Linked DNA regions of Arabidopsis thaliana. The protein of the gene in region 1 interacts with the protein of each later gene in a biochemical or structural test. Each region holds a gene or a part of one and is shown in the gene's direction. Other genes may lie near its edges. The genes, in order: ABF4, CPK4, CPK32 and CDPK9.

What was found.
Region 2: of the proteins of ABF4 (region 1) and CPK4, one has a biochemical effect on the other in vitro, tested with the Arabidopsis thaliana proteins (one study listed by BioGRID).
Region 3: the proteins of ABF4 (region 1) and CPK32 form a complex in vitro, tested with the Arabidopsis thaliana proteins (one study listed by BioGRID).
Region 4: of the proteins of ABF4 (region 1) and CDPK9, one has a biochemical effect on the other in vitro, tested with the Arabidopsis thaliana proteins (one study listed by BioGRID).

What each region holds. Positions count from the first base shown.
Region 1 is NC_003074.8:6,684,153-6,692,466, forward strand, and holds ABF4 (ABRE binding factor 4), read left to right. Parts: upstream 1-2,889; 5' UTR 2,890-3,084; exon of another isoform or gene 3,085-3,733; 5' UTR 3,734-3,803; coding exon 3,804-4,922; intron 4,923-5,010; coding exon of another isoform or gene 5,011-5,055; intron 5,056-5,109; coding exon 5,110-5,181; intron 5,182-5,276; coding exon 5,277-5,306; coding exon of another isoform or gene 5,307-5,318; exon of another isoform or gene 5,319-5,554; coding exon 5,555-5,632; 3' UTR 5,633-5,971; downstream 5,972-8,314. Other genes in the region: AT3G19300 (Protein kinase superfamily protein), read right to left, coding at 6,090-6,601, 6,674-6,758, 6,856-6,945, 7,037-7,104, 7,185-7,237, 7,320-7,581, 7,659-7,943, 8,129-8,314. UniProt on the Arabidopsis thaliana protein: Functions as a transcriptional activator in the ABA-inducible expression of LTI65/RD29B (AC Q04980). Binds specifically to the ABA-responsive element (ABRE) of the LTI65/RD29B (AC Q04980) gene promoter.
Region 2 is NC_003075.7:6,045,976-6,054,118, forward strand, and holds CPK4 (calcium-dependent protein kinase 4), read left to right. Parts: upstream 1-3,465; 5' UTR 3,466-3,584; coding exon 3,585-4,122; intron 4,123-4,664; coding exon 4,665-4,808; intron 4,809-4,897; coding exon 4,898-5,050; intron 5,051-5,151; coding exon 5,152-5,267; intron 5,268-5,479; coding exon 5,480-5,647; intron 5,648-5,734; coding exon 5,735-5,959; intron 5,960-6,047; coding exon 6,048-6,209; 3' UTR 6,210-6,405; downstream 6,406-8,143. Other genes in the region: AT4G09580 (SNARE associated Golgi protein family), read right to left, coding at 6,746-6,877, 6,952-7,122, 7,206-7,476, 8,049-8,143. UniProt on the Arabidopsis thaliana protein: May play a role in signal transduction pathways that involve calcium as a second messenger. Functions as a regulator of the calcium-mediated abscisic acid (ABA) signaling pathway. Phosphorylates ABA-responsive transcription factors ABF1 and ABF4 in vitro.
Region 3 is NC_003074.8:21,294,374-21,302,782, reverse strand, and holds CPK32 (calcium-dependent protein kinase 32), read left to right. Parts: upstream 1-3,078; 5' UTR 3,079-3,431; coding exon 3,432-3,959; intron 3,960-4,203; coding exon 4,204-4,327; intron 4,328-4,412; coding exon 4,413-4,556; intron 4,557-4,689; coding exon 4,690-4,842; intron 4,843-4,927; coding exon 4,928-5,043; intron 5,044-5,145; coding exon 5,146-5,313; coding exon of another isoform or gene 5,314-5,364; exon of another isoform or gene 5,365-5,407; coding exon 5,408-5,635; intron 5,636-5,729; coding exon 5,730-5,885; 3' UTR 5,886-6,326; downstream 6,327-8,409. Other genes in the region: AT3G57540 (Remorin family protein), read left to right, coding at 1-548, 960-1,160. UniProt on the Arabidopsis thaliana protein: May play a role in signal transduction pathways that involve calcium as a second messenger. Involved in maintaining Ca2+ homeostasis in pollen tube tips by regulating CNGC18. Functions as regulator of the calcium-mediated abscisic acid (ABA) signaling pathway.
Region 4 is NC_003076.8:7,948,419-7,955,808, reverse strand, and holds CDPK9 (calmodulin-like domain protein kinase 9), read left to right. Parts: upstream 1-3,189; 5' UTR 3,190-3,375; coding exon 3,376-3,904; intron 3,905-4,137; coding exon 4,138-4,281; intron 4,282-4,366; coding exon 4,367-4,519; intron 4,520-4,591; coding exon 4,592-4,875; intron 4,876-4,974; coding exon 4,975-5,199; intron 5,200-5,283; coding exon 5,284-5,421; 3' UTR 5,422-5,607; downstream 5,608-7,390. Other genes in the region: AT5G23590 (DNAJ heat shock N-terminal domain-containing protein), read left to right, coding at 873-1,547, 1,635-1,817, 1,907-1,939; AT5G23575 (Transmembrane CLPTM1 family protein), read right to left, coding at 5,768-5,916, 6,005-6,172, 6,256-6,475, 6,555-6,745, 6,824-6,917, 7,095-7,330. UniProt on the Arabidopsis thaliana protein: May play a role in signal transduction pathways that involve calcium as a second messenger.

The sequences.
Region 1 (8,314 bases):
CTAGGAGTTATCTAGAATTATATTAGGAGTTATCTAAAGATTATTTGGTAGTTATCTAAATAATAGTCCTAATAGGTTTTGGATTTGGTTTATGAGATTCTTATATAAGGAGATGCTAAGTTGTGGCATAACTCATTGTGTTTAAGCATTGAGAGTTTGAGAGCTTAGGTTTTAAGGTATTTTCCTAAGTTAATAAAAGAGAGTTATTCTTTTATATTTTGAGTTCTTATTCACAATCTTATATCCTTAAATTCTATAGAAGGAACTAAGGAAGAGAAATGTATAGATCGTCATGGATGAGCATATACATGTAATTTTTGCCTCCTCTTAGAATTTTCTAATGACAACTCCAAAATAGAATGATTTCATATATTTTAAAAAAAAAAGAATGATGATGACTATTATTACTCTAGTTATAGCAATAAGCCAACACTATTCATCACAACATTTATTTTTAAAAATTTATCGACAAATTGATATCACACTATTATGAGACAAAACTAATACATCAAAATGCAAAGCTAACGATAGATATAAATAGTAGTTAATTAAAACTTGAAAATACAAAAATGACATTGTATTAATTGAATAATATAAAATATAGTGATGTAACTAACGTTCAAATTTCAAAGTACATAATCAATATGGAAACTAAAGATAAACAAAGTCGTCCTTTCAAACAAAATCCTTTCAGACTTTGGATCTGAATGATATGTAGCTCAAAGAATCAGAGGAAAAAGGCAAATAAAGCCAACGCAAAAGGTCCAAGCTAGAACAATGGATTCATGTCCGGGAAACCGTGGTAGTAGAAGACGTGGTGGTGGAGGACCACACATGACATAACTAGGGTTTTTCTTGTGAACTTTTTCTTCTCTAGCTTCACCGTAATATCTTGTTTTCGATGTTCTCTAAAACTAGCAAATCGTGTGTTTACACTACTCTTTCAAACTACTTTTCTCCATCTCTGACCCTTGAAGTCATAGCCATGTAATCTCTTTGCATTTTAGTAGAATACCCTGTAACAAGAAAAAATAATTATAGATAAAAACAACAACAAATAATCTTAACAAAACAAATGTTGATGCTTCAACGATTCGTCCTTTTTTAACACATTTTCTTGATTATATTTTGTGGCTAGAGGCCCTAGTCACAAATGCCCTCACCAACCCTTCAATCATTGAATATATACAAGCACAACCACATGCGATCATTTGGGATCTGAAATATTAATACAAACTAAGATCTCAATCATAAAAAAATAGAATGACTACAAATCTATTAGTTAATTAGGACAATTATTAAACATTTTTTCTATTCTCTATTTTATGTTTGAATCTTACTTTTTGCTAAAAAAATATTGCTCCATTGATATTTATAGTTTACTATAGTCTTGGTGATTTGTATGGATTTGTAAAAAGAGGTCAAGCGTTGATGGAGATGAACTCTACTTCTCACATCACTCGAGTCTTTTTAGATTAGTTTTTTTTTGATAAAAAGGAAACAAAGCCTAATTATGAATTAGCAAATACAACTACATCTCCATAGTCGTCCCTTGAATCTTGGTCGAACTCTGTAGCATCAAGGTTGAAATTAAACCTAAATGACAATCGTGTGTACGTGTATAAATATACATATAAGTGATGATTACATAAACTCATAGTCATATATGGGATCTATTATGGTTTTATGCTCACTCTATACGTCGGCCTAACGTGGCAAAAGTGGATATTTCTTTGAATATAAAATAGAAAAACAAAAAGCAAATAAGCAAACATTGCAATAATACCAAAAGAGGAATGAAAACATATTTCTGTATTTGGAAGTAATGATCTTAGACTCCACGCGACTGTGTTCTTTATTGTTTTGTTTCGAAGAGCGGTGTGATATTCTTATTGGCTTGCAACCAAAATGGGCTCCCAAAAAGAAAGCAAGCACCACCACTTCTTCTATCTGATGAGGGAACACTTTTAACATAAAAGTCACACAACCATAACATATATTCAAATTTCGGGTGATAACATAATGATAAAAATAGCACAACCCAATTAACTACATGTTTTGGTCATATTTTATTCATAGTTTATAGTTTTTTCTTTTTTTTTGGTAGGAGTAAAGAACACTGTCGCGTGGAGTCTAAGATCATTACTTCCAAATACAGAAATTTGGTTTCATTCCTCATTTGGTATTATTACAATGTTTGCTTATTTGCTTTTTTTCCTACTTTTTTTTTATAACATCTAGTTTATAGTTTTTGTTATATATTCAATCTATTTAGTGTCTAAACAATACTGATGATATCAAATGATTAAAAGGCTTTTGAACTGTAAAAATGACAAACAAATATCTATGATCTATGTCATAATTGAAAAAAAAAAGTTACCAATAAAGATTTTTTTTTATATAGGTAGTATTTCTTGGCTAATATGGACATGTATATAATTATATTTAGTCTTATCTATGTATGAAATTGGTTTGGATGTTGAAAAATGAATCATCCTTATCGTCAACCATTTTGGAAAGAGACAAATCTAGATTTTGATTTCTTTTTTTTTACAAATTAAAGATTTTATAATATATCACAATATTGTTGAAGATTACAATTGTGGCATATGTCAATTTGAAGATCAATTTGAATTTTTGATATACATCTAAAATAAGAAAACTAAAAGAACATAAGAAGTAATATATTTTTAAAAAATTGACCTAAAAACAAAGAATAATCATTATTATGATTTAACTCCAATGAGAAAACAATTCCAAGCACGATCTCCAACCACTCGAATCTTCACTGTCGGAAACAAACGGCCAATGTTTTACCACGTCGCATTCTTAATTGGATGTAAGTCTTTACAAGCACTTAAAACATTAAACTCTTTTTTCTCATTCGTCCACGTTTCTTTTTAAATTAATACTGTTAACAGATAATTATTCACAAAAAAATAATATCTGAAGAACAAAAAAAAAGGTTTCAGGGCCTTAAAATGGCTGCTCGTGTCGAGGCGGCAGCAACACACTTGTCGTCTCTCCCTGTAGCTTCTCTGGAGTTTTCGCAGTCACGAATCTTGTTTTGAAGAAATTAATTTGGTAAAACATATTTTCGAGCTCCTTTCTCTTTTATTATCCGTTTTCTGACTTCTGGATCTGTCTTTGTCGGATCATCCAATTTTTTTGTTGTCTTTCCTCTGTTTCGTTTATGAATCATGATGATGTACATGTTGTAACTGAAGTAACTTTTGGTTATCAAATTAGAGTTAAAGAGAGAATTTTTACGAGATATTTGTTATAAATTTATCGATTTGATTCTTGTTGCTATTAGGGTTTTGTCTATTTGATTCGATCGGGTTTTTTTTAAGAGAAATGGGTTGTGGAATCTGGAATAGATCCTTCTCATGCTTGTTGGGTTTTGCTGATTTTCTCGTTTTTGGTTTTATGAGTAAACTCTGTATCTGGTGTGAATTCGTTTTCCATCAAAAAAAGTCATCAAATTACGTTTTTTTATAAACATTATCCAAAGATCTGACCTTTATTGATTGACTTTACTGTGCTTTTACATTTGTTCGCACGCATTTATGTGGTTTGTCCAGTTTCACTTTAGTATTCTTTCTCTTATATGGATGTGAACATGCATTAGTGACACATAGTTCACTCCTTTTTATTTTCCTCGGAAGTTCTCTTTTTCATGGATTCTTAGCATTATGTAATATACACTCTAACTGCTTTACTTTGATTTTAGAACAAGGGTTTTAGGGCTTGGATGCTTTGTTTTCATTGAAAAAGAAGTAGAAGGAGTGTATACAAGGATTATGGGAACTCACATCAATTTCAACAACTTAGGAGGTGGTGGTCATCCTGGAGGGGAAGGGAGTAGTAACCAGATGAAGCCAACGGGTAGTGTCATGCCCTTGGCTAGGCAGTCCTCGGTCTACTCCCTTACCTTTGATGAGTTACAGAACACACTAGGTGGACCGGGAAAAGATTTCGGGTCGATGAACATGGATGAACTCCTGAAGAGCATATGGACTGCTGAGGAAGCTCAGGCCATGGCCATGACTTCTGCGCCAGCTGCTACAGCGGTAGCGCAACCTGGTGCTGGTATCCCACCCCCAGGTGGGAATCTCCAGAGGCAAGGTTCGTTGACGTTGCCTAGAACAATTAGTCAGAAGACTGTTGATGAGGTGTGGAAATGTTTGATCACCAAGGATGGTAATATGGAAGGTAGCAGCGGAGGCGGTGGTGAGTCGAATGTGCCTCCTGGAAGGCAACAGACTTTAGGGGAAATGACACTTGAAGAATTTCTGTTCCGTGCTGGGGTTGTAAGAGAAGATAACTGTGTTCAACAGATGGGTCAGGTCAACGGAAACAATAACAATGGGTTTTATGGTAACAGCACTGCTGCTGGCGGCTTAGGTTTTGGATTTGGTCAGCCAAATCAAAACAGCATAACATTCAATGGTACTAATGATTCTATGATCTTGAATCAGCCACCTGGTTTAGGGCTCAAAATGGGTGGAACAATGCAGCAGCAACAACAACAACAGCAGTTGCTTCAGCAGCAACAACAGCAGATGCAGCAGCTGAATCAGCCTCATCCACAGCAGCGGCTGCCTCAAACCATTTTTCCTAAACAAGCAAACGTAGCATTTTCTGCGCCTGTGAATATAACCAACAAGGGTTTTGCTGGGGCTGCAAATAATTCTATCAACAATAATAATGGATTAGCTAGTTACGGAGGAACCGGGGTCACTGTTGCAGCAACTTCTCCAGGAACAAGCAGCGCAGAAAATAATTCTTTATCACCAGTTCCGTATGTGCTTAATCGAGGACGAAGAAGCAATACAGGTCTAGAGAAGGTTATCGAGAGGAGGCAAAGGAGAATGATCAAGAATCGGGAATCAGCTGCTAGATCAAGAGCTCGAAAGCAGGTGAATATAAATCTAACTAAACTTATCTAGTCCCTTTTGTTTGGTTTGACTATTATGGTCTTATATTTTGCAAGACTGCATTAAACAGAAACATAAAACCAGCAAAGATATCTTCTATCCCGAACCACTTCTTGTATTATGAAAGATGCTTTATCTTCCATGTTTTTTAACTATCCACTAATTACAGGCTTATACATTGGAACTGGAAGCCGAAATTGAAAAGCTCAAGAAAACGAATCAAGAACTGCAGAAAAAACAGGTTTCTTTCTGTTTACAACCTCTCTGTGTGTTTTCTGTTTTCCCCTATCAGACTTTTAGAACTTGGCTCTGATCCTAGCTTCCCCTGTATTGCAGGCTGAAATGGTGGAAATGCAGAAGAATGAGGTAATTGTTTAAGAACTTTTCTTTTCATTGAGTTCATTCTGAAACCCTTGACCATACTTGATTAGGACCAACATCAGCAGCAAAAGACTAAACTTAAGTTGTAGCTCTGATAGTGTATGTTGGTCCTTATCAAGTATGTCCCCAACTGAAGCTCAAACCTGAGATAGCTTTCGAACATTTCGTGGTCTTGCTTCGTTTTGAATAGCCTTTTTGATTGTGTTGTTCACTAGTATTCTTTTCAAAATTAGCAGCTGAAAGAAACGTCGAAGCGACCGTGGGGCAGCAAAAGGCAATGCTTGAGAAGGACATTAACCGGACCATGGTGAAGGATGAAGCAACAAGAACGGATGAACCAGACTCCTAGCTTGGGATTAATGTAATAGGATAGTGCTACCTGTACAGGAGATTAAGAGAAATTGAGTGAAAGATCTAGGTTACAGAGTAGGAGAGAGTTTTCATTATGAATAAATGACATTTTGTGCCCTGACCTTTGTTAGTTTAGGTTTAGATTATCCTCTGTTATTGACTTATTGTGCTTTCTGGTTGTTAGGGTTTCTAAAAGACATAGTTGTTTATATATATGTCTGACTTTGTATTCCGGATTTGGTTCTCTTGTGTCATTAACTTGGGTTTAGCCATTATTACTTAAGAGTGGCAACGAAATCATTCTTGACTCTGGTTGGAAAACATATGTCATCTTTCAAAACTGCAATTAGAAAACAGTTAGGATGATCCTAAGTGACAAATTTCTAGAAAAAATGTGACTAATTTGTCTCTGCTCACTCAAAAAGAGAGACCATTTGGTGGAGAGTGAGGGGAGCCAGTCTCAAGCAGAAAACTCCGGCTACAATGCGACCTTGAAGTAGTACTAGAGGAAGAAGCCAAGCCACGGATGTCTCCACTTTGGAACCCTGAGTCACCTCTCAGTGACCGTCCTTTGTTCTCTTCAACTGCCATTGCAAGCCCGAGATGCAACGGATCACAGCTTTCGTACAACAGCCTCAGAACTTGCTTGATTGATGGCCTAGCCACGCCTTCTTTCTCTGTGCACCATCTTACAACTGCCACTACTGTTTCAAGCTGTTCTCCATCTATGCAGTCTTTGATTCTCGGATCCACCAGATCTATGCGTCTTGATTCTGATACCAGCAAAGGCTGAGACAGTTCTACCAGGTTCCTACCTTCATCAACCGCTCTTTTCCCAGTTATGATCTCTAGCAACACCACTCCGTAGCTGTACACGTCGCTTTTCTCTGTTAGTTCATGTGTTACAACGTACTCTGGATCTACATAGCCTGAAATTCAGATTTCATGGTTTTAGATTTTGCTCAATATTTCAAGAGTAGTTAATTCCTTAGTATCCTGACCTGGAGTTCCGCGGATATCAGTATTAACAGGTTCAAAACAAATGGAGCCATCTCTAGAAGCATGTGCAAGGCCAAAATCTGCAAGCTGCACCACATAACCCCACACCCACAGGTCAATTCTTTAAGAGGTAAAACGAATTGATAAGTCAGTGACCAGTTGATGTGAAAGGATGCAGACGCACCTTAGCAACAAAGTGCTCGTCGAGTAATATATTGCTTGACTTAATGTCTCTGTGACAGAGGGGAGGGTCACAGTAGAAGTGAAGGTATTCCTGCAGGAAAGGAAGCATATCCAGTTAAGAACTAAGAACAGTAATAATAATATAAACCATAGACTAGAGTATCAGTTTTATGGAAATTTACCAGAGCATTAGCCACATCAATTGCGATTTTCATCCTTGATTCCCAACTTAGTGGAGATTTTTCCGTGGCTGCAGAGAGGAATAACAACGTTCAAGATTCTTAGTCAAGTCTAAAACAGAGGAATGCAATCTGAAAATCATGAGCATACAGTGTAGATGATCCTTCAGGCTCCCATTTTCCATATACTCGTAGACAAGGAACCTGTAATTCTCAGGTTAGATGAGCAAAGGGCAATCCACACAAATGGGGAGAAACGAAATGAAGGTCAACCGTAATCATTCACCTCTCGTTCTTCTTATTACAAAACCCTTTCAAAGCAACTAGGTGGCGGTGATGCAGCCTGGCGAGAAGCTCTATCTCTCTGCAAAATTCATCTTCAGCTTGTTCAGAGCTCTTGTTCATCTTTTTTACAGCTGCAACCAACCCATTACTGAACTCAGCTTTGTAAACAGTCCCAAAGCCCCCACGGCCAATCACCGCGTTGAAATCTTCAGTTGCTTTCCTTATCTCCTTGTAGCTGAATTTCCGAAAACCAAACGAATTACCTGAAAAATCAAAACCACACATTTGTTTTACATGGTCTAACATCCCTTGTTAGTGTACCATCAGAAGAACTCTTCACCTTCATGAATCATCGACCTTGGGCGGGGAGAAGGAGATGTCCTTGTTAGATTACAAGCGATGCTCTTGGAGTCATCAAGTTCTCGTTTTTTTCTTTGGATAAGAACTATTAGGACTACAACCATCACAAGAGCAAAAACTGTGACAGCAATCCCAATAGTCGGAACCATTGTCAAGTGATATGGATGGTGACTTTTTAATGGAGACAAAACAAGATTATCGCTGCTTGGACTATCAGCTAACACTGGAGGAGAAGCTTCTGGACTCAGCGATGATGGAGACGAACCTGAGTAGATGTGTCAAGAAAGTCAGAAAAGAAAAGAAAGTCCAATCTTGATCTGATACTAAGAAGATTATACAGGACACACTAGTAATATATACAGGATCTGTCAAGCATCTTTCCCAATATAGAAACAATGATAAGATTCTACACTCCATGAATGGTATGTTGACAGAGAAAACAGTATATACCTGGAGTGGGGCTAAGCTCAGGCACATTAAAGAAGCAGCTAGCTAGTTCAAGAGCCGATGAATTGTCAACCCGGCTTGCTAACACAGCATAAGTTGCATCACGACAAGTACTCAGTTTGATGCTATTATCAGCACCAACGAGGCTCCTAAGGTAGCTGATACTGGAATTCAAACAATTCCTGCATT
Region 2 (8,143 bases), on another chromosome or scaffold:
TACCGTGGGAATTCATCTAGTATTTATGAAAGTTGGTTAACTTTTCATGTGAATGATACATCATCATTTTAGCATTTATCACATGTTCTCTAAATAGTAAATGTAAATAATGGTTAATTATACATATTATTTAATTTTACATATTTAATTGTATCAATATTAATATTTAAAATTATTTTATTAGTTTTCTCATGCTCTAGGATTTTCTGCTAATTTTTATAATTTTAACTTAAAATATGGAATAAATAATAGTATATTGAATTAGCTAATAGTTCGAGTAGGTTATTCTTCAGAATTTTTAAAAAGAGTATGTGAGTAGCTCCACTATCAAATTTTTGAGGTTTGTATAATTATAACATTATAATTTATAAAATTGCTATAGCACAAAAATTGTTTAAAGATTGTGTGAGTGATACATTGTTGAAAATATTGTTAAGAATGTATTGCTAAAGATATTTATAGCAATTCACGGGCTTGGTATTTGGAGCTCAATAATTATCTCATCAAATCCAGTTTTAGAAACTAAGTGTCTGAATGCATTATTTCCTTATTTGTACATACAAAATGTTATACCATCCTCTATTCATTGGTCTATGTTAATGACATAATCATCACATGAAACAATTTGGATGCATTTGAAAATATTTTACAAAATCTAGCTATCAGTTTTCACTTAAAGACTTGGGTGAGTAAATATTGAAGAATAACTTACAAATTGATTCTATCAATCACAAATCGCAAACCTGAATGCTTTCGGTTGAACAAATCTCGTGCAGTTACTAGTGTTCCTCCTCTACCAAAATGACCAAGATGATATAGCATCCTACGATATGAACTAAGAAACCCAGTCTTGGTGGGATATCCGAAATCAACAAGATAGTACTTCCCACTAGGCGGATGTGGGAAAAAGGTTCATTCCTCGCACAATGATTCAAAACTTTTGTATCATGTGCTCTACAAGATATACTGACATATGCATATATGAATTTCATATCGAAGTTACATATAGCAAGAACATTCATTATATGTTCTATCTTTCTATATTTATATTTTTCTACAGATTGACTTAGACGGCGAACCGGGACATAAGTTCCATCAAGTGCTCCAACACAATCTCTAAAAACAGGCCAATATCAATCATCATTCTTCTAAACAGGGTTTACTCTCGTAAATTCACCTTCTTGTGGCTTTAGTGTATCCACTACAAACTTTAAAAGAGCACTCAAAACATCATCAATCTTTTTTTTTTTTACCGTATTCAATGACCGTTGATATCTTGTAACTATATCTCAAACAGTTTTATCCTGACCAACCACCTCGAAAAGTATTAGTGATTTCTACCTATATAGTGAAGAAGACCGTAAGTATTAGTTCCAAACATTTAGACCCATTATATAGAAACAGACATAGAATTTGGAAATTTTGAATAAACCGATCAAGCTGAGAGTAACTAAGAGAACACAAATAAATAAGAAACTCAAAATATTTAAGAGATTTCAGTCAGTGAATAACGAAAGTACCTCGGAGTAGAGATTCAACGTTGTATTAGAAGTAACCAACGACGGGAGATCTAGTTGAGCTCAAGTCACCGGATAATATTTCGCAAGATTGCGGCGGCGGAGAGAGATTGGTTTCAAAGAGTTTGAGATCGATGAGTGTAAGAGAGAAATGATGAAAAAGAAGTAGAAGAAATAGAGTTAGGTTTGTTTGTAGTTTCTCAAACATAATAAGGGTATAATTGTCATTTATCATATATAATACAACTTTTAAGCGTTGACCGCAGCATTATGCCGCACTTACTTGCATCTGCCGCTGTTGCAGCAACCTAGATAATCAAACGAACATCTTATTAAAAAAAAACAGAAGCTGAAAGCCCAAGCTTATTTAAAGATGGGCCAATAGGGGCCTGCATAAAGTTCCAATTTTATTTAGAAAATATCTATTTAACATCATTTATGAATAAAGTGTCCTCCGATGCTATTTGGGTTTGGTTAAAGATGGATTTTGGAGGTTTTCCAAATGATGTCAGATTTTGAAGATGAACAATGAAATAAATATATCTAAAGCTTATACATCTAGGTCTCTTACCCAACGGCGATGAAATAAAGAATACATGTACTAAAACGACGCATGCAAAATAATACCTGAAATTTTCTTTCTACGTTGGAACTCATTGCAAAAGATGAGGAATATTGCATAGCCATGGATTGGATAGAGCCATAAAGAATCGGTACACATTGCTTTTCATATTTTAATATCGTTAAGGCGTAATGTAATAAGTATTAGAAATGGATTTTTAAAAGTATTTAGATAGTTCGGGTTTAAATTTTATTTTATTGCTGATTGGACTTTGTTTTACAATTATAGAGAAATAATTTTGTGTTAAATTATAGTATTATACGACATTCACACAATTACATTTACATTAACATGTACCACGTCTATTTTATAATATTGCTCCAAAACGAAAGAGTGGTCTTCACGACGAGCGAGGTTTAAAATTTGTAGTCGTGCATTGCAAAAAGCTGCGAAAACCGTGTGAACTCTCAACCAAACCAAATATGATATGAAGAAATTGGTTCTTGTCCATTCGGTGGTTAGTGTGCATGCATGTCGGTGAATTTTATATGTTTTCCATTTACGACCTTTTCTCTTTATATCATATAGATTTTTAGGGGAAAAAAAAATCATATAGATTTTTAAAAAATCATGTTCCCAATTAAGACATAATGTTTAGTAGCCAAATTGAGAACCAACCTTTTTTCTGTTTATTAAATAATTTAAGTGGATGGATTTTACACATATATTTTAATGTCTTACATAAATAAAATATCATGTTATTTTTTTTGATAATATCATGTTTTATTGATAAAATCCATACATACTTGATACTTGCAAAAAATATCATGCACAAATTTATCTCTATAAATGGTTATCTACCTTTTTTTTTTTTTTTTTTTTGAACACAATTTACCTAATAATCTTAATAAATATAAGAGAAATGTAACGCATACTTTTGTTGGACATTGTTTTTGGTCGAGTCTGATTGGTTTTTTGTTCAGATCTATCGGATTTATGTATTTAAGATCTAATAAACAAATTATAAAAAATTTGATTCGATTTGGTTATCGATTTTATTAATAATGTTAATATAATCCGACTTACTTTGGTTAGAAAAATTAATTCAAAAGTAACAACAAAAAAAAATTGGATAACAAAACCATCTAAAATCCTGCTAATTAATTCACATCTAATAACCGAATCCGAACCTAAATGACCAAACCATTTGTGTAAAAATCTCAAGCCTAGTCCCTATATTTCAATAGATTTTTTTCTTTTTTTTTTGGTCAAGATCAATAGATTTTTTTCATCAATTCAATTTATTGCAAATTTGCAATAATAGTTGGTAAATACTATAAATGTAAATGGTCACGGGATAACAAAAGAGCAATAATAATATAATAATTGCATAAGACGAGTCAACATGACCAAGAAACATTGAAGGGTTCGTAACTTCGTATCATCTTCCTCCTCCTCCTTTGATAAACACCAAAAAAAGGCAGAGACTTTCGAAATCAAGAACAATGGAGAAACCAAACCCTAGAAGACCCTCAAACAGTGTTCTTCCATACGAAACACCAAGATTAAGAGATCACTATCTCCTCGGCAAAAAGCTAGGCCAAGGCCAATTTGGAACAACCTATCTCTGTACAGAGAAATCATCATCAGCTAATTACGCTTGCAAATCAATCCCAAAACGTAAGCTTGTATGTCGTGAAGACTACGAAGATGTATGGCGTGAGATTCAGATCATGCATCATCTCTCTGAGCATCCTAATGTTGTTAGAATCAAGGGTACTTATGAAGACTCTGTTTTTGTTCACATTGTTATGGAAGTTTGTGAAGGTGGTGAGCTTTTTGATCGGATTGTTTCTAAAGGGTGTTTTAGTGAACGTGAAGCTGCTAAGTTGATTAAGACTATTCTTGGTGTTGTTGAGGCTTGTCATTCTCTTGGTGTTATGCATAGAGATCTTAAGCCTGAGAATTTCTTGTTTGATAGTCCCAGTGATGATGCTAAGCTTAAAGCTACAGACTTTGGTTTGTCTGTCTTCTACAAGCCAGGTTCGTTGTTGATTCTTCTCTTTTGATTGGAATCTTATGGTTTTTGTCTTTGTTGGTTGGTTCAAGGAAATGTTTTGATTTGGTTTCTTGATTCGGATTTGCTGCTTGAGCATTGTTAGGGAAAGATTGAATTTTGTTATATCTGGTTTTGACATTTAGTTGATATATATGGATGTGTTGATTGTGCAAGGTTTTGTTATATATGTAACATATGCTTATGGTTATGAAGCGATCTTATCAGATTTTATTCGATTCATTGTCTAGATTATGTTGAGAAATGTCTTGTTTGGTGTTGAAAATCGGTTTCATGATATGTTATCTGTAGAATCATTTGTTGAATGGTCATTTCCAATTTGCTGCTTGAGCATTGTTAGAGAACCAATAATTTTCTGTGGCTAGATCTTTCTGAATCTTTTCTTGCAAGATTTACATAGTTTTGTTGTGTTACTTATGCTTATGTAATGATGCTATCAGAGCTACATTGTGTCCGACTAATTTCAGTGCTTAACAAAATTTTCAATTGTGTGGGTTTGCATCTTCAGGGCAGTATCTGTATGATGTAGTTGGAAGTCCGTATTATGTTGCACCTGAGGTTCTGAAGAAATGTTATGGACCAGAGATAGACGTGTGGAGCGCCGGTGTTATCTTGTACATCTTACTAAGTGGGGTTCCTCCTTTTTGGGCAGGTAAGTTTGTGAAAGCTAGTACCGTTGTTACTACTGAATCAAGTATATTGCTTATGTGATTTAAGCATCCATGAGTAATTTGTTTGCAGAAACCGAGTCAGGAATCTTTAGGCAGATATTGCAAGGGAAGATAGATTTTAAATCTGATCCGTGGCCTACTATCTCAGAAGGTGCTAAAGATTTGATTTACAAAATGCTCGATAGGAGCCCCAAGAAACGTATTTCTGCACATGAAGCATTGTGTAAGTTGTTACTTATGATTGTTTTCCTCTCTGCTACATGTATTTTGTTGTTCATTTCTGTAAGATATAAGAATTGAGTTTTCCTCTGATGATATTATTAGGTCACCCTTGGATTGTTGATGAACATGCTGCACCAGACAAGCCTCTCGACCCAGCAGTCTTGTCGCGACTTAAGCAGTTCTCGCAAATGAATAAAATCAAGAAAATGGCCTTACGAGTAAGAAAGTTGTAGCCCTTTAGTCTCCACTCTCATTGCTTATTTTCAAGAACTGATTTCCCTGTTAGGAAGATCGACTAAGATAACACATTTTAAGAACTATTTTCAGGAAATGAATAAACTTAAGTAAATGGCCTTATAAGTTGGAAAGCTATAGTTCTTTAAACTCTCAATGCCATTGCTTATATTCAAGAACTGATTTCCCGGTTTAGGTAATCGCGGAGAGACTCTCGGAGGAAGAGATTGGTGGTCTGAAGGAATTGTTCAAAATGATAGATACAGACAACAGTGGAACAATCACCTTTGAAGAGCTTAAAGCAGGTCTAAAGAGAGTTGGATCTGAATTGATGGAATCAGAAATCAAGTCTCTTATGGATGCGGTAATTATACCAAAACAAAAACTCTCTTTTAGAATATTGATTTCTCCGTTCTTCTAGGAATCACAAAGCTTAAATGGTGTTTTGCAGGCGGATATAGACAACAGTGGGACAATAGACTACGGTGAATTCCTAGCAGCGACATTACATATAAACAAGATGGAGAGAGAAGAGAACTTGGTGGTTGCGTTTTCATACTTTGATAAAGATGGTAGCGGTTATATCACCATTGACGAGCTTCAACAAGCCTGCACAGAGTTTGGTCTCTGTGACACTCCTCTTGATGACATGATCAAAGAGATTGATCTTGATAATGTAAGAAGCCTTCATGATCTGTTTCCTTTGTCTTGTTTCTTAGTGAGTTTGGTTTAAAACTGATGATGAAAATATGTGGTTTTGTTAGGACGGGAAGATTGATTTCTCAGAGTTTACTGCTATGATGAAGAAAGGAGATGGTGTTGGGAGGAGCAGAACTATGAGGAACAACTTGAACTTCAATATAGCTGAAGCTTTTGGAGTTGAGGACACAAGCAGCACTGCTAAATCTGATGATTCACCAAAGTAATTATAATCATCTATATACTTGGAATTGAGAAATGAGAACTCACAAAAGAAAAACTGAATCTTTCCTTTTTGTTTTCGTTTCCACTTTTGTAGATGAGCAACTTTCTCAATTTTGTTATAAGCATGGATAATTTTGCTTCATATTTTCTGCGTATAGAACCATTATATGATCAGAATCACCCATATTTGGTCAAAGCAATGTCTTCAAGCATTTACATAATCATGTTTGTTATACATAAGCCAATAGGCTGCAGAGTCAGATCTCTGAATCAAGTATTCAATATACAAAGCCAATCATGATTCAGTAAACTAGCTACACAAACACTTACTACTACAAGGGGGTAAGAGAAGCTCTCAAATCGAAGACAATAAACAAATCAAAGCCAGAGTTAGCGATTTTAAGCTCCGCGATGTTGCAGAAACAATCTTCTTCTTTTATCTTGAGCTCATAAACACCTTTGAAATGCTGCCATGCGACTGAAAGGTGCTGCTCATCAATATCTATATAAATGATTATACTCTTCAGTCTTCGACTCTTCATTCATATACTCTCTTTCTCTTTAGAAGGGCAGGGAATATGGAGATGGATCCAATGAGGAACAGCACTGACAAGGTCTTGAAATCATACAAATCCTTTACTGATCTGAGATCTCCAAGAGCCAAACCAGCCTGTGTAAATGAAAGTAAATGTTAGCCTCTTAAACACGAAAGAACAGCGGAATGAGATTGAACAATAGACTCACTCTAACTGTGATGTACGAAGCTGGCATAAGACCGACTAGAGTCGCCAAAAAGAAGACGTGAAAGGGTATGTCAACGATTGGAGAAGACAAATTGATAAAGAGGTTTGGAAGTGTTGGTGTTATCCTTAAGAACAGCATGTAGTTTAGCAGCCTATCTCTTCTTTTCGCAATCTGACCCATTGAAGATTTCAAGACATTAATGCTTTCAGAACAAGAGACATTACTAAATACTAATCAAACACAAAAGAACTTACCTCAGCTTGGAAAAACCTCAACTTTTCAGGCCATAACCAGTTAACCAATGGCCTACCGACCAATTTCGATAAGAAGAAGCAAGAACATGCTCCAGCAGTTGCATTAAGGACAACAAGAACAAAACCTCTAACCACACCGAAAAGAGCTCCAGCAAGCAATGACATAAAGATCGTTCCAGGTATCATAAATGTCTGCATAAAGATATACGTCGAACAGTAACCTAAAATGAACCGTGCTTGGTACTCACTTGCATAAGACCCAAGATTCTCTCTGCACATATTCATCATATCAATATATCATCATCATATAGTAAGTCCAAGCATATCACATTCAACTGAAAACGCAACTTTCAAATCAAGTCTTAATGCTAATGCATGTACTTATTTTGAAATTCAAGTAACACTACTAAAAGCTAAACACTTTCAGTTTCTACATTTGCATAAATTCAATTCTCAATCTATAATACCAAACAACAAGCTAATCACATACAAACAAACTGAGAATGCTGATTCTAGAATCATGTCTTTAAGCTAATTTTCTGCTCTCTAAAGTCTAAACCAATTTATCGGAATCTTCGAAAGATTCAAACTTTCAATATGGGTTTTTGAATTAGAATTCAGATTCAACAGATCACTATTAAAAAGCTAAACACTTTCAATTCCTACATTAGCTTAAACTCAATTTTTTCAATCAATAGAACAAACGAACAAGCTTATCACAAACAGAAAATTTTCCATCAATTTTCCGAAAGATTTGAACTTTCAATTTGGGTTTAAGATTTAAGAGATAACTACTCAAAGCTAAACACTTTCAATTGTAAAAGAAGAAGCTTTTAATCTCACTTGAGCAATCGAAGATCGGAGATAGTTCTAGGAACTTTGAGCTTGCCGTATTCAGCGGCAGGCATGGTGAGGTAAATACAAAAGAGTCCGGTGGT
Region 3 (8,409 bases), about 15 Mb from region 1:
CTCGGCCACAACAAAGGGGATCAGGAGGAGGATACTTGTCTCCGTCGAGGTCTATTGCTTTTAGCGACGGAACTACTTCTTCCGGTGAGAATTTCACCACCGTGAGCAGAGAGTTCAACGCTCTAGTCATCGCCGGATCTTCCATGGACAACAACAGTAACGGAACTAACCAATCAGGTGGTCATCGTGACGTCATACGTGATGAAAGAAACGAGCTGACTAGGATCGGCGAAAACGATGACGTTGGTGATCATGGTCAGGTGCCTGAGGAGGATTCAAATCCATGGGCGATTGTACCGGACGATTACAACAACCGGGACGGTTCAGAGAATAATATTGTGTTGGCGTCATCAGGTGGTCAGAACCGGATGGTGACGACTGCTTCGGTGCAGAGGGTGAAGAGAGAAGAGGTGGAAGCAAAGATAACGGCGTGGCAAACGGCGAAGGTGGCTAAGATTAATAATAGGTTTAAGAGACAAGACGCCGTTATTAACGGTTGGTTGAATGAGCAGGTTCATAGAGCTAACTCTTGGATGAAGAAAATCGAGGTGACTCATTTTTTTCTATTTTACGAATATCTTAGTTAGATCCGATCGATTAAGAGAACAAGATGACTTATAACATGCTTTTCTTGAAACTGTTTGCTTTTACATGTATAACAAAATAATTTAGAAAAACTATGTAACGTTTTCAAATTGCAAACGATAAACGTGGACAAGCGTTTTTTACAAATTATAAAATGCATATTTTATCCAACCAAAAAAAAAAAATCAAAATGTAAGAATTATGGGTTTATTTGAAAAAAAAGCAGAAACACAAATAAACGATAGATCCTTGAATGGTGGTGATATATCAAATATTTGAAATGTGATAAAGCTATCCAAAAGACTGACTAAATAGACGTCGATGTTGTCTTTGGAATAATAGATTATGCGATTGATACATATATGTGGATGCAGAGGAAACTGGAAGATAGGAGAGCGAAGGCGATGGAGAAAACACAAAACAAAGTGGCAAAAGCTCAGAGGAAGGCGGAGGAGAGGAGAGCCACGGCGGAAGGTAAACGAGGGACGGAGGTTGCGAGGGTTCTTGAAGTTGCTAATCTCATGAGAGCCGTTGGACGACCTCCGGCCAAACGATCATTCTTCTCTCTTTCCTAGCTAAGCTATTACTAGTTTTAGTTACATCCAAATGTCTCAATATATATAGGCTACCATTTTCTGTTGGGAATCAATGTGTATATAACTATATATAGAATGTAAGAGTTTTAAAGGTACTGATATATTTTGTAATTGTATGCTTTTTTCTTTGTCTGCACCACATAAAAACTAATAAAATGTTATTTGTAAGCCAAGAAAATTGTTTACATGTATTGTTTTGTCATTCCATCTGCTGAGACTGATACGACTAAAGAGTTAAAGAAAAGAAAAAAAAGGTTCAAGCTCTTACTTAGTTTCCAGCTCTGTTCATTTAATTACTCTCTCTACCTTGGCCTGTCACTCATGTGTTTAAGAGCTTTAACAAAAATGTAATTTAAGACGCCACAATTTACTAATTCAGGCTGCAAAGCTCGAAACCCTACGTATTTCAGGAATGGAATTTCGAACCCACTAAAATCTTGCTCAGACGAGTCTAAAACCTTTTTGCATACAACTTGTATGTATTTCTTACCACACTCTTACGGTGAACAAAACATAGACCTTATACACACAAGTGCAAGAAAGAGAGAAGTAAAGAGATTTTGAGATGGGCTGATTAAGAAAGGCTTATTTTCGGTTTTTGCTTCTGCCATAATGGGCCTACATACCCTTTTTTTTTTTTGGTAGAAATCTACATACCCTTTCTTTGTTAACTCTCCTATTTATTTGTCCATCAATATCATAGATATATTTTGTTTTGGTCGTTTTAACAAACAAGACTCAGTCTTTGGTAAATGATCAAATACTAAAGAAAATAGAGTGTACTGTATAAAACCCCTCATTTCTTGCCTAATTATATATTGCACTTAACTCTCTTTTTTAGTAACGGTAATCTAAGTAAACAAATTACAAATTGAATCATTGACTTGGTAGGAGTAAGACAAACACTCGTGTAAGGAAAGGAATGTCCATCAGGAGCTTTGATATTAATTTAGAGGCATTTGATAAAGTATCTTACCACATTCATACTCCGTTGACTTTGCTAATTATTTTATATATAAACTAACTCTAAAGTAAAATTTTAAGTATTTATGTTACTTTTAAATACAGGTTTCGACCCAATTGCACATATATCTGTAATCTGAACAATTATTAAATTAGTTGACAAAAAAATAAAAATAAATTTATTTCTATATCAGTTAAATTTTGATAAATCAAAATGCGTTTATCGATTTGTTGGTAGAAGTTTTATAGTGCAAAACCAAAATCATCAACTTGACAGAAAAAGCAAATAACTTTGAGTAATTACATATGTTGGTTGTTTTGTATCGAAGTCAAAAAAATTAGTTAGTTGGGTCCGACGAAAGTGATTAAAAAGAGTCAAAATCGCCGTGTTTGACCTTTTAATTATAAAAAAAAAACAGAACATAAAATAAAGGTGGCCGCTTATTTATGAACCCAAACACGAGCGTATTTACGGTTTCACCCTTAACTTTTTTTTATTTCCAAGGCGCTTAGTTTAAGAACGTGTCACAGACTCCGCTTTCTGTTTAATCCATGAGGTAAAATTCCTGAAACACCCCTGTCTTCGTAATTATTTGTATGATTCATTTCACAGATATATATTTATTTGGTGCTAGAATTTTGTTAGACATTCTATAAAAATAAAGAGTTTTCTAAAATTAAAATGAACAAAAATATTCTAAAAATAAAAAAAATTCTGCAGGAGTTTGAAAAAAAACAATTGGTGGACATTTAACTATTTAAGCCTTAATTTTTTTTGTCGGCATTTAAGCCTTAACTTAAGATCACATATATTCACCAAAAATAATTAAAATCACATATAGGGGTAATATTGTCAATAGTAATTTGGTAAAGCTGAAGGCATTTTGATTTCACATTAGAGTAATGTAATAGTAAGAAACATTCTTTGAAAATTAAAAATTTAAAGTGAAAAAAAGAAACAGACAAAAAAAGAAAAAAAAACAATCATAGAGCAGCTGGAGAAGAAGGGAGGGAAGAAGATTCTCTTGACCTTCCTTCCATCATCATCTCTCTCTCTCTCTCTGTAATTAATTTTTCGCAATTTTAATTTTCGAACAAATGATTTGACGTTCTTCTTGGTATTCACGCGTTGAAAATTTCCACCCTTTCATATATTGTTCTTCACCTCCTTCGTTTTTTTCTCATCCATCTCTTCCAGAATTCTCTTAAAGTTTCCTACTTTCCTGGAATTTCGTCCTCAATCTCTCAAGTTTCATCGGTTTTGATTTGGGTTTGATCGGAAAAGTCATGGGTAATTGTTGCGGAACAGCAGGATCATTGGCTCAAAACGATAACAAACCCAAAAAAGGAAGGAAGAAGCAAAACCCTTTCTCGATTGATTACGGTCTTCACCACGGTGGTGGAGATGGAGGTGGAAGACCTCTTAAGCTTATCGTTTTGAATGATCCAACAGGTCGTGAGATCGAGTCTAAATACACGTTGGGGAGAGAGCTAGGTCGTGGAGAATTCGGTGTTACGTATCTATGTACTGATAAGGAGACAGACGACGTTTTTGCTTGTAAATCGATTTTGAAGAAGAAGCTGAGGACAGCTGTTGATATTGAAGATGTTAGGAGAGAGGTTGAGATTATGAGGCATATGCCTGAGCATCCTAATGTTGTTACTTTGAAGGAGACTTATGAGGATGAGCATGCTGTTCATTTGGTTATGGAGCTTTGTGAAGGTGGTGAATTGTTTGATAGGATTGTTGCTAGAGGGCATTATACTGAGAGAGCTGCTGCTGCTGTCACTAAGACCATCATGGAAGTTGTTCAGGTTCGTCAAGGTTTTTTTGCTGTTTATTGTATCTCTTTAGTCTTTACTTGTTGCAGAATTGCAATGGCCTCGTATAATGTCTTGGTTTGTTACTGGTTTCAGTTTCTTGGACATTATTGACTTGTAGCATTGCTTTAAAGGGCTCAATTTGCTGCAGAAAGATTCAAAATTCGTTTCTTTTCATGTAAATTGAAAGTCTTGTGGAGTGATTTTAGATGTGAGATTAATGAGTGTGTTCTTGCAGGTGTGTCATAAGCATGGGGTAATGCACAGGGACCTGAAACCTGAGAACTTCTTGTTTGGAAACAAGAAGGAGACTGCACCTCTTAAGGCGATTGATTTTGGTCTCTCTGTTTTCTTTAAACCAGGTAATGTGGTCTTTCTGCTCAGTAGATAGCTGATTGCTTTGTGGTTTGTCAATAATCTTAACCCACACCGTTATTTTCTTTGCAGGCGAGAGGTTTAACGAAATCGTTGGTAGTCCGTACTACATGGCTCCCGAGGTGCTAAAACGGAATTATGGTCCAGAAGTTGATATTTGGAGTGCAGGTGTAATTCTTTACATACTGCTATGTGGTGTCCCGCCTTTCTGGGCAGGTTAGTTTTGTCAGTCTATGTTTCCTTCTTCTTGGGCCGTCTGTAGCACATGTTGTCTTCAGGGGTAGTATATGAAGAAGTGATCATAAGAATAATGAACCTGGTCTTCTGTTTTTTTCTATACCATTTTCAGAAACTGAACAAGGAGTTGCACAAGCAATTATTCGATCTGTACTAGACTTCAGAAGGGACCCATGGCCCAAGGTTTCTGAAAACGCAAAAGACCTTATCAGGAAAATGCTTGATCCTGACCAAAAGCGTCGTCTTACAGCTCAACAAGTCCTAGGTACAGATTTATATGATGCAATTTGCTTATATGGAATCTGAGACAGACAAAGAGTATTAATCGGTCTTTGCTTCATTTTCCTCAGATCACCCGTGGTTACAGAATGCAAAGACAGCCCCCAATGTATCATTGGGTGAAACAGTGAGGGCAAGGTTGAAGCAGTTCACCGTCATGAACAAGCTCAAGAAACGAGCACTCAGGGTAAAATACATATTACTTATAAACTATCCGAAAATGTATATCTCTTCTGATCTAAAAAGCCTAACAATAGTTTCGTTTGGTCTTGTTACGTTATCTCGATAGGTTATTGCTGAGCATTTATCAGATGAAGAAGCTTCAGGTATAAGAGAAGGGTTCCAAATAATGGACACAAGCCAAAGAGGGAAGATTAACATCGACGAGCTTAAAATCGGGTTGCAGAAACTTGGTCATGCCATTCCGCAAGATGATTTACAAATTTTGATGGATGCTGTGAGCTTTGATTTACCATTACTTTTCAATACCAGTTTTTGTGTGATTTGAATGCAGTTAACTGAGCTCTGGATGGTTTTCTTCTACTTTGCAGGGAGACATCGATAGAGATGGATATTTGGACTGTGACGAGTTTATTGCCATATCGGTACACCTAAGGAAAATGGGCAATGACGAGCATCTCAAGAAAGCGTTTGCGTTCTTTGATCAAAACAATAACGGATATATCGAAATAGAGGAGTTAAGGGAAGCCTTGTCTGACGAACTTGGTACAAGTGAAGAAGTTGTTGATGCCATTATCCGTGATGTTGACACCGACAAGGTTGGTTAACTTCACCATTTCACTCTCGTTTTCTTGTTGAAAAAAATCCCATCTCATAGAGAACTAACCATCATGAAAATTGTTTTTTTTGTAGGATGGAAGAATAAGTTACGAAGAGTTTGTAACGATGATGAAAACAGGAACAGATTGGAGAAAAGCTTCGAGACAGTACTCGAGAGAACGGTTTAACAGTATCAGTCTCAAACTGATGCAAGATGCGTCGTTGCAGGTCAATGGTGATACAAGATGAGAGAGGCTTAATCTGTGTCACTCACCAGTCTGGAAGATTGAATCAAAGGGATGCAAATCTTTCTTAATTTCTTAATTTTTATCTTCTTGGGTTGCTTTTTTTTTATGACACCACGATTAAAGCTTTTTAGGCATATAAAGTTGTAAGAGTTGTGTGTTTGATATCCTGGCTAATGAGCGAGCTGAGTATGGGGATCAAGAGAGAAAAACCGTGTTGGCCTTTGGCTGTGTGTAGATATTTTGTATAATCTTGTGTTGATAAAAGATAATATCATCAATTTTTCTTGTGATCAATCTGTAATTTTCTATAACCATTCAAGAATTATATGAGTTATGGATTTTGACAATGAGAGCTTGCTTTACAGATAAACTTACACGAGCTTATATCGAATATAGGCATTTTAAATTTAATAATTTCAAAAGAGGTATGTTGCACAGTTGAATGGGCCGCTTATTGTCTGATTTCGGACGATTTTAACCTTCTGGAGTAAGTGAGAAATTGATATTCCATTTTTGCAAGTGGTAGGATGATGTGAAAATAGGTGAAGAAGTGAAAACGATATACCCTAGAATTGGACTTGTAAACCCAAACCGTTTAGTTGACAGTCTGCGATGCATACACAGATACAACGACACAACACTACAACATTAATTAGACTTTCTCGGCTTGAGAAGATGAGGCCAATGAAATGATATTAGAGATGACTTTTCACAAGAAATAAGTACATGTTTTCGTGAAGACATATGAGAAATGTCTTAATAAATAAATTCTTAAGACAAATGCCTATTTTGTAATTAACTCAATTTACACAAAGCCAGATGTACAAATAAAATCAGAAACTAAAGTCCCATTTCGTTTTGTCCTGGTGGTCGACTTTGTCTTTGTGGTCACAGTTTTGTTTTCAAAACTGTACAATGTTTTAAATAAGTATATAACGGAAACTATATTGGCCATAAACTTTTATCAATCCCATATAGCTATAGTAGTCGAGAAGAAGGAAAATTCAGACAAAAATATAATAAACGTCGTTATTGGCTTATCGCAGCATCAAATCTAAACAAGTGGACTAAATATTTGTGTCCTCTATATTATTGTCATCAAGCATAAGACACCAGTCATTTGAATATTTGATCAACAGCCTTATAAAAAATAAAAATTTACAATCATATCTACTCGATGAGTTTGCAACTGTTCATGATATTGATATCCTACAAATCTGATACCCACACAATGTAGATAAAAATAGCATCACTGAACATCTGTTAAGTATTATAATCACAAACATACAAGTGAAAAGCAATTTAACTCAAATCATTGCTTTTTGGTACGTCTAATAAATATCCACCTCGTAGTAGTCTCATCGACACGGGAGACTTACGTGGCTATTTTTGTATTGTTGCCAAATTTTATTGAAAATCAAACAAATCAATCATGCAAAAGGCGTGAGGTTGAACGGTACACGAAGGATACACATGTCCGATGTCGACCTTGTAGTAAATAACAATATGATTTGGAAGGACACTATACATGATTACAGAGTTAACATTATAGTAATCACCGTAATTTATCATTGATTAATCGTCGTATTAAAGTTATATACATAGAGCCAACAAAATTTATAATCGTATCACACACCTAATGATAAAAGTCCAAAGTGAAAAAGGAATCTAGACAAGGACATGGTGAACTGATCAATGCTAATTAAGGAGATACTTTAGATCTTTTAACATTTGATTAAACAGAGCTGACGTGGATGAGACCCACTTGCGCCGTTTCATTACAAAAATTCACCTACGTACGTACTTTTTCTTTCGTTTTTCTTTAATAACTATTTTGGGGGTTAAATGCAATTATTAGGAATGACTGAATAAGAGGACATCATTAAAGAGCTTGATTGTTTTTTCTTTTTTTTCGTTTTATCTGAATCAATAATGAAAAAGAACCAAGTGTTCGAAATGCAAAAACCAACAAAGGAAAACGATAAAAGATAATCCGTAAAATAAGTAATGAGTCGATATATACCAAACTCTATCTTCATAATCCGTACCGATCGACGGACCTACGTACAGTATATATTAGGTTCGATTTAAAACATTATCGTACCATGCATTATTATTTATTAGTGTGTCGTTCCACGAATTATCCACAACAGGAAGTAGCTTTTAGTACGAAAGAGCAGCCAAGTGAATTAACCCGGCTCAAACCGGTCGTCGAGTGTTGACCACACACGTGGTTCCAGATAAGCGGATAAGGATCGTGACATCAAGTGTGAGTATGTGTTACGGTCCGTATCTTAGCGACGTTGTTATGGTTTGCTCCGCAGAGGAGTCAAACTAAAACACAACTTGCATAATACTTTCTCAATTAAAGTAAAGTAATAAACATGTGTCTGTTTATATCGTGTGTTTATAGTATTGGGCGGCTTCGATAGTCGTTTTGTTGAAAAGTTTATATATATTTTGAAGACGGTTCTAAGTACTATGAACCATACATTTTAATGGAATTGCTTCGGTCCTCGGTCCAT
Region 4 (7,390 bases), on another chromosome or scaffold:
AATCACCCAAATTGAAATGAAAAAAAAAAAATTGTGTTCTTGCTTGTCTGTTTATTTTGGTTTATTTACAATTCATTCCGGTTCAATGTTAGGCTTTCATTAACCGATTTAATTATTCTTCCGGTTTAATCAAAAACAATTATTCTTCTTCTTTCACAATCTCTCCTGTGTTATTTACGCCGACTCAAAGAACCCAAAGCTCTTGGAGGAGGTGATCTTCTCTTCTCAGATCATCTTCTACTCTTGAGTATACCCTTCCTTTGAAGATAATTCCTAGTTTGGGACTTATCCTTACTTCTCCGGGATTTCACTTTAATCCACCGAAGAGTTTTGACATCTGAATTGTATTGTTTTGGGTGTGATCCCGATAGAATTCGAGGGTAGGAATCGGAAAGGTACGTTATGAAATTTGATAATTGTGATTTCTGTGACTCGTTATTGATTTTTAAGTAAAAGAACGAAGCTTTGTATATGATATTCGGAGTTCTAGGTTTAATTGAATTGTTGTCGTTGATGTTTTGATGGGGTTTAACTTTTTGAACTAATTGCTCTGAAATTGCTTAACCAAATCAAGGGTTCCTATCAACTGTGTCAAAAGTTTTCTCTTTGTGAATTCCCTGTTTGATGGCTAGGGTTAATAGCAAGTGAGACCATGAATTGCTTTTTATGGTTACTATGTTCATTCTGTTATTCTGAAGCCGATATTATATGTTGCCAAGTTTGTGTGTCACTTGAATTATCTGTTATTGTACAGTTGGATTTGTGAAGCATTTATCTGTTTCTGTGTTTTCGAATTTGCTAAAGCTTTTTAGAGTACTAACTTCTTCTTGGTTTTGCTGCAGTAGGGTGATTTGGTTTAGAAGAAGAAAGAAATGGAGGGTTTTGTCGATCACTACATTGTTCTAGGTTTAGCTTCTGGAGAGGAAGCTCTGAAGCTTACCGAGAAGGAGATTGCAAAAGCATACAAGTTGAAAGCTTTGGACTTGCATCCTGATAAACGCCCTGATGATCCTGATGCCCATGAGAAATTTCAGAGGCTTAAGACATCTTACGAGGTTCTCAAAGACGAGAAAGCCCGGAAGCTGTTTGATGATCTTCTTAGAATCCAGCGTGAGAAACAACATAAGAAATCGCAAGTAGATTCCAAGAGGCGTAAGATGATGTCAGATCTGGAGGAAAGGGAGCGTTCTGCTTTTTCTCCTAATCCTTCCGCTAGAGCTTATGATGAAGAAGAGAGAATCGCTAGGAAGCTTAAGGAGGAGATAGATAGGATACGTGCAAGACATGCGAAGAAGAAAAGTGGTTTCCAAACTCCAGAGAGTAATGTAGATGAAAAGAGAAAAGAAGAAAGAAGTGGTGCTGGAGCTAGTGTTCAACTCGATAAAGAGAGAATGTTGAAGGTTTCTTGGGAAAAAAGTGGTGAAGGGTATACAGCTGGAAGGCTAAGAGAAGTGTTTTCTGAGTTTGGTGAGGTTGAAGATGTTGTTATTAGGAGTACCAAGAAGAAATGTTCTGCTCTTATTGTAATGGCTACAAAGGATGGAGCTGTGAGTACTATTTTACTAAGTTGGTTTCTCTCTTTTTCTTTATACATCAAGAAGTTAAATTGATTCAATTTGTTTTTTGTCTTATAGGTTGCAGCGACGAGGACATTGTGTGGCAATCTTTCTAATCCATTGTTGGTTGTACCTCTTCAGAAAGCAGCCCAAACTGATTTTCTGACGGCTAAGAAATCTGCAGAAGCAGAACCGCAGAGTAACATAGTAGGTGCCGGTCTTCAAGCTTATGAAGATGCCGTCATGCAAAGACTGCTACAGGTATTTTTCTACGCTCCTCAGGTTCTTGCTGATTCATTCGTTTGTGTTTTTTTTTCTCAAGAACTCTCATATTTTACTCTCTTCAACAGGCGGCTATGGACCAGAAAAAGCGAGGGGTTTAAGCCACATGATCAAGAACAAAGCTCCTTCAAGACCAAAGTGATAAAGAATAAAGCTCTGCTTCATGATTAAGAATTAAGCTCCTTATACATTGTTTGTGTACATCCAATCTCATATCAGTTGTTGTTGTAGAATTTAAAATTCTAACTCTTCTCGAAAAAAAAAATGCTTCGTATCATCTTCAGGAGAGCTTTCAATTTGTACCGGAAGTCTTTTTCAAACAAGTTTTTGTTTTGAAGAAAATTTTGGATTTGTATAATATTCCTTTATCTAGTTTCATTTGGAATTCTGTTGTAGATTTCATGTGTTTGTCCATGATTTCACCAAATATCTCATTTATTTGATAATTCAATCACTACAATAGTATAAAAATGTGATGTTTAGAAGATATATGGATTTAAAATGTAATTAAGCACAGGGTTGATGGTTACTAAATAAATAAAGTGGACACTGACAGAAAGTTAGAAACCAAACGAGAGGAGGCAAAGACACAAACTAGAATGCGTATGAAAGAGAATGAAATTTTCCTTTTAATTTTCTTTTCTAAAATGATTCGATGTCTTCATCATATTAGCAGAAAATACATGTGACAAAAATAGTTTCTTGAATAAAAGTAATTTAGGTTTAGGAAAAAAAGGCTATAATTTAAAACGAGCTACAGTTTCTTCGTATGTAAGCGAAGGAGACGTTTTTGCCTTTATTTAGTGCCCTAAGTACTGTACGTAGTGTAGATACATATCTTCATTAAGTAGAAAATTTTATTCATAAAAACTCAATTAACTTTTTTTTTTTCCTTTTTATTGCAGTTTTAAGTTGTAAATTACATTGTTTTTTTTTGCAAAAAGTATGCAATAAAGTATTAAATTAATTAACACTATCGCTACAACTACTTCTTTAATTAGTCTATACTATTAGATATCATATAATTTTATTTCTTAAAAGTTAAAAGAGGCAATATTGTACATTTTGAATGCATTGTGCCTTATTAAACAATTAAATTTATTTAACTTTAATAAAGTTAAAAATAAAAATAAAAATTTGGACTCTGGTAGTATATTACCTGATTAATATATTTGAGTATTTGACCAAATTTATATATTTAGAAAATATAAAAATATCAACTAATTAATAATTCAACTATCAATGAATTTTTTTCCTTCATTCAGTTAAAAGCATTCATGGAATTTGTTTTACTTCCCATTTTTTCATTTGATGTGGACAAAAAATCTGAAATGGAAAGCTATTATTAGCTAATCAATCATTGTCCAAAACTTGGTTTTATTTCTCTCCTAACTCTTGACTTCCCTCTCTCTCTCTCTCTCTCTCTCTCTCTCTTCAATGCCTTCTCCAAGTCAGTTTCTTTCCTCATTCAACAGTTTCTCTTCTTCTTCCTCTGCTTAAACGAAACCCTCAAAGAAATAAAAAAAAGCTCTCAAGAATGGCGAACAAACCAAGAACCAGATGGGTTCTTCCTTACAAGACCAAAAACGTTGAAGACAATTACTTTCTTGGTCAAGTCCTTGGACAAGGCCAATTCGGAACCACTTTCCTCTGTACCCATAAACAGACAGGTCAAAAGCTTGCCTGCAAATCCATACCCAAAAGGAAGCTCCTTTGTCAAGAAGATTACGACGACGTTCTGAGAGAGATCCAGATAATGCATCACTTGTCTGAATACCCCAACGTTGTCCGTATAGAGAGTGCGTACGAGGACACCAAAAACGTGCATCTTGTGATGGAGCTTTGTGAAGGAGGTGAGTTGTTTGATAGAATTGTGAAGAGAGGTCATTACAGTGAAAGAGAAGCTGCTAAGCTTATCAAGACCATTGTTGGGGTTGTTGAGGCGTGTCACTCTCTTGGTGTTGTTCATAGAGATCTTAAGCCTGAGAATTTCTTGTTTTCTTCTTCTGATGAAGATGCTTCTCTTAAATCTACTGACTTTGGCCTCTCTGTTTTCTGCACACCAGGTGTGAATTTGTTCTTGTTCTTCTCTAATTTTGTTCCGTGACTGTGTTGGGGATGTTTATGAGTATCAATTTCGTTACTTGATGAGTCAGTTTGTCTATTAGTAGTACTTTAAAAGAGCACATTGACCCCTTGCTTAAGATCCCATCTTTCAAATGCAGTGACTGTGTGTGGTTTAGCTGAATTAGTTTGATAAGGAGCTCTTGTTTTGGACACACAAATCTTTGTCTTTCAGGAGAAGCATTTTCGGAACTCGTTGGTAGTGCTTACTATGTGGCACCTGAGGTTTTACATAAGCATTATGGTCCTGAATGTGACGTATGGAGTGCTGGAGTTATCCTCTACATTCTCTTATGTGGTTTTCCTCCTTTTTGGGCTGGTATATTTCCAATGCCTTCTTTCTTTATAAATGCATTGTTTCCACCAAGTGCTTACTCTCTCTCGGTGTCTTATTCTGTATCCAGAGAGTGAAATAGGCATCTTCAGGAAGATTTTACAGGGAAAGTTGGAGTTTGAGATCAATCCTTGGCCTAGCATTTCAGAGAGTGCCAAAGATCTTATAAAGAAAATGCTTGAAAGCAATCCTAAAAAGAGGCTAACTGCTCATCAAGTGTTGTGTAAGTTGTCATGTCTGCGAAAGTTGATGAGTTTTTTTTTCTTGTAAGCTGATTCATATGTTCTTGTGTCAGGTCATCCGTGGATTGTGGATGATAAGGTTGCTCCAGATAAACCTTTGGACTGCGCGGTAGTGTCCCGCCTGAAGAAGTTCTCTGCAATGAACAAACTTAAGAAGATGGCTTTACGAGTTATTGCAGAGAGACTATCTGAGGAAGAAATCGGTGGTCTCAAAGAACTGTTCAAAATGATAGACACAGATAAAAGTGGGACTATCACGTTTGAAGAGTTAAAAGATAGTATGAGACGTGTTGGGTCAGAGCTTATGGAATCAGAGATCCAAGAACTCTTGCGTGCGGTAAACTAGCTACTACTCCTTTATTATCAACTTTCACTTTTAACATCTTTGTTGTGGCTGGAAGTAATATCATCTTCTCATTGTGTGTGTGTGTGTTAGGCTGATGTTGATGAGAGTGGAACAATTGACTATGGAGAGTTCTTAGCTGCAACAATCCACTTGAACAAGCTGGAGAGAGAGGAGAATCTAGTAGCTGCATTCTCTTTCTTTGATAAGGATGCAAGTGGTTACATCACTATCGAAGAGCTTCAACAGGCATGGAAGGAGTTTGGTATAAACGATTCTAATCTTGATGAAATGATCAAAGACATTGATCAAGATAATGTGAGTAGTACACAAATGATCTTTACTGTTTGTTTGATGAAGAGCTTGGAAGAAATGTTTATGGTGGTTGCTTTTTTTTTGTAGGATGGACAAATAGACTATGGAGAATTTGTGGCAATGATGAGGAAAGGAAATGGCACTGGAGGAGGGATTGGTCGGAGAACTATGAGGAACTCTCTCAACTTTGGAACTACTCTTCCTGATGAGTCTATGAATGTCTGAAGTACTCATTTTTAGTGAAAATAATTTAGCGACTTTATGGAGCAAAACATGTCATATGATACAACTTGCTGTTTCTGCTTACTCTAATTCTGCTTTTAACAACTCTTAGTAATTGAAATTGTAAGCTCTCAACAATTTGTAGAATTTTCCCATGGATTTTACCATATCTCAGAGCTTTAGAGAAAATGTTGTTTTTTTCCTTTTTCACAAAAAACCAAAGGAGTTGCTTAATAATGTGTCTTGAGGGTTGACATTAAACTTGAACAAAACAATTTCCAAAAGTGAGAACAAAAATAAATTAAGACACTATAACTGAACTGTAATAAAATTTGAAGAAGAGAAGAGATTAGTTTGTTTTCTTGTCTTCTTCTTCTTTCTCAGTGATCAACTTCTTCTCTGCAGTTTCATCCTCACCTCCAAAACCGAACTCGTTCACACGTGTCTTATCCACTGGGTAAACCCACCTTTGGTATAAGTATATCAAGAATATCACATCTGAAACACAGAGAGAGAGATCCATTAAATAAGACTGTTTCTGAAAATCTGAATCGAAATAGAGAGGAATTTGATAGATTTTACTCACCATCTCTGAATACAGAAAGTCGATGTAAAATCGGCATTTTGATGACAAAGGCAAAGAGATCGTCGATAATGGTGTTGAGGAACTTGTAAGTCATCTGTCTCCATGGTAAATGTGCCACTGATTTAAGCTTGTAGTTGATGAATAGCTGAGGACACATCATGATGAAACCTGCACAAAACAAACCCCAAACTCAAAACAGCTTCACAAGAGAGATTCTCAACAGTTATTTTAAGGATGGTGAAGGCTATTACCGAACATGTAGACACAGCTTGTTAGTGAAGATAGTATCCAAGAATACCAGCTCTTGTGGCGTTCATAAGCGAGAGAATATATGGACAAGCCAATGACAAGGAGGAGGAGCACATAGGATAAGAATTTGATGGCAATGTCATCATACTCCTTGGTTTTATTGCTTGCATACGATTCACGATCATGGAACCTCAACCTTGGAATCATTCCACTTCGATCAACCTGTTAAGTTTAAATGTTTACTGAGGTCTACATGCAAAGCAACAACATTAGAAATGTATATATAAGAACTTATAAGTACCTCTATGCGCATGGCTTTCCCTATTTTCCAGAACTCAATGCAGACACCGACTCCGGAACTAGCCAGTATCATCCATGAAGTGTCGTTGTCAAGCAAGTAGAGGAAGATGACAAACTGACAGATAAAGTTCAGTACAACAGACTTTGCAGACAGCCCTTCCATAGATTTATTTTTGTTCCAGAATTGGATATCTGCAGGGTAGGCCAAAAATTAGTAAAATTTCAACAATCATTCCTACAATTGTTAGGAAAGATTTCGGTCTTACTTACCATTTTTGAATGCCAGGAAGTCGAACACTGAATGAAGCATCGAAACAAACATCGTGATCCCCAAAAGATAGGGATTTCCTTCCAAAAACACCTTCTGTAATAAATAAATTACACAACAAAATAATATTTACAAACAGCTCCAGGGAGAAACCAAGAGATATGTAAAGAAAATAATCAATAGTGTCTCTCCACCAACTAGTTTCAAAAGTTAATAGCAAATCATAAGTTCATGGATAGAAGATGGTGATTGACTATAAATAACCAGAATTACCTTTAGTTCGTCAGATTCACCGTCAAGCATGCTTCCATAGCTACGCTGCATCTGGAAAGATTGATCAACTTGCTGAAACAGTTGCCACTTCATCATGCTTATGGGACTTATTTCCAGATTTAGTGGTAGTTCTGAGACTGTCTCATTGACTGGAATGAACTTGTCCCTTAGCAGCCAAAACTCATTGAAGTAAATTGTAGGATAGTAATTTCCTGTGGTCGGTTCTACCAGTAAGTCTGCAAATCTAAAGTTAAGTACCAACATATAACAAATTGGGCAAGTAGACAATCACAATG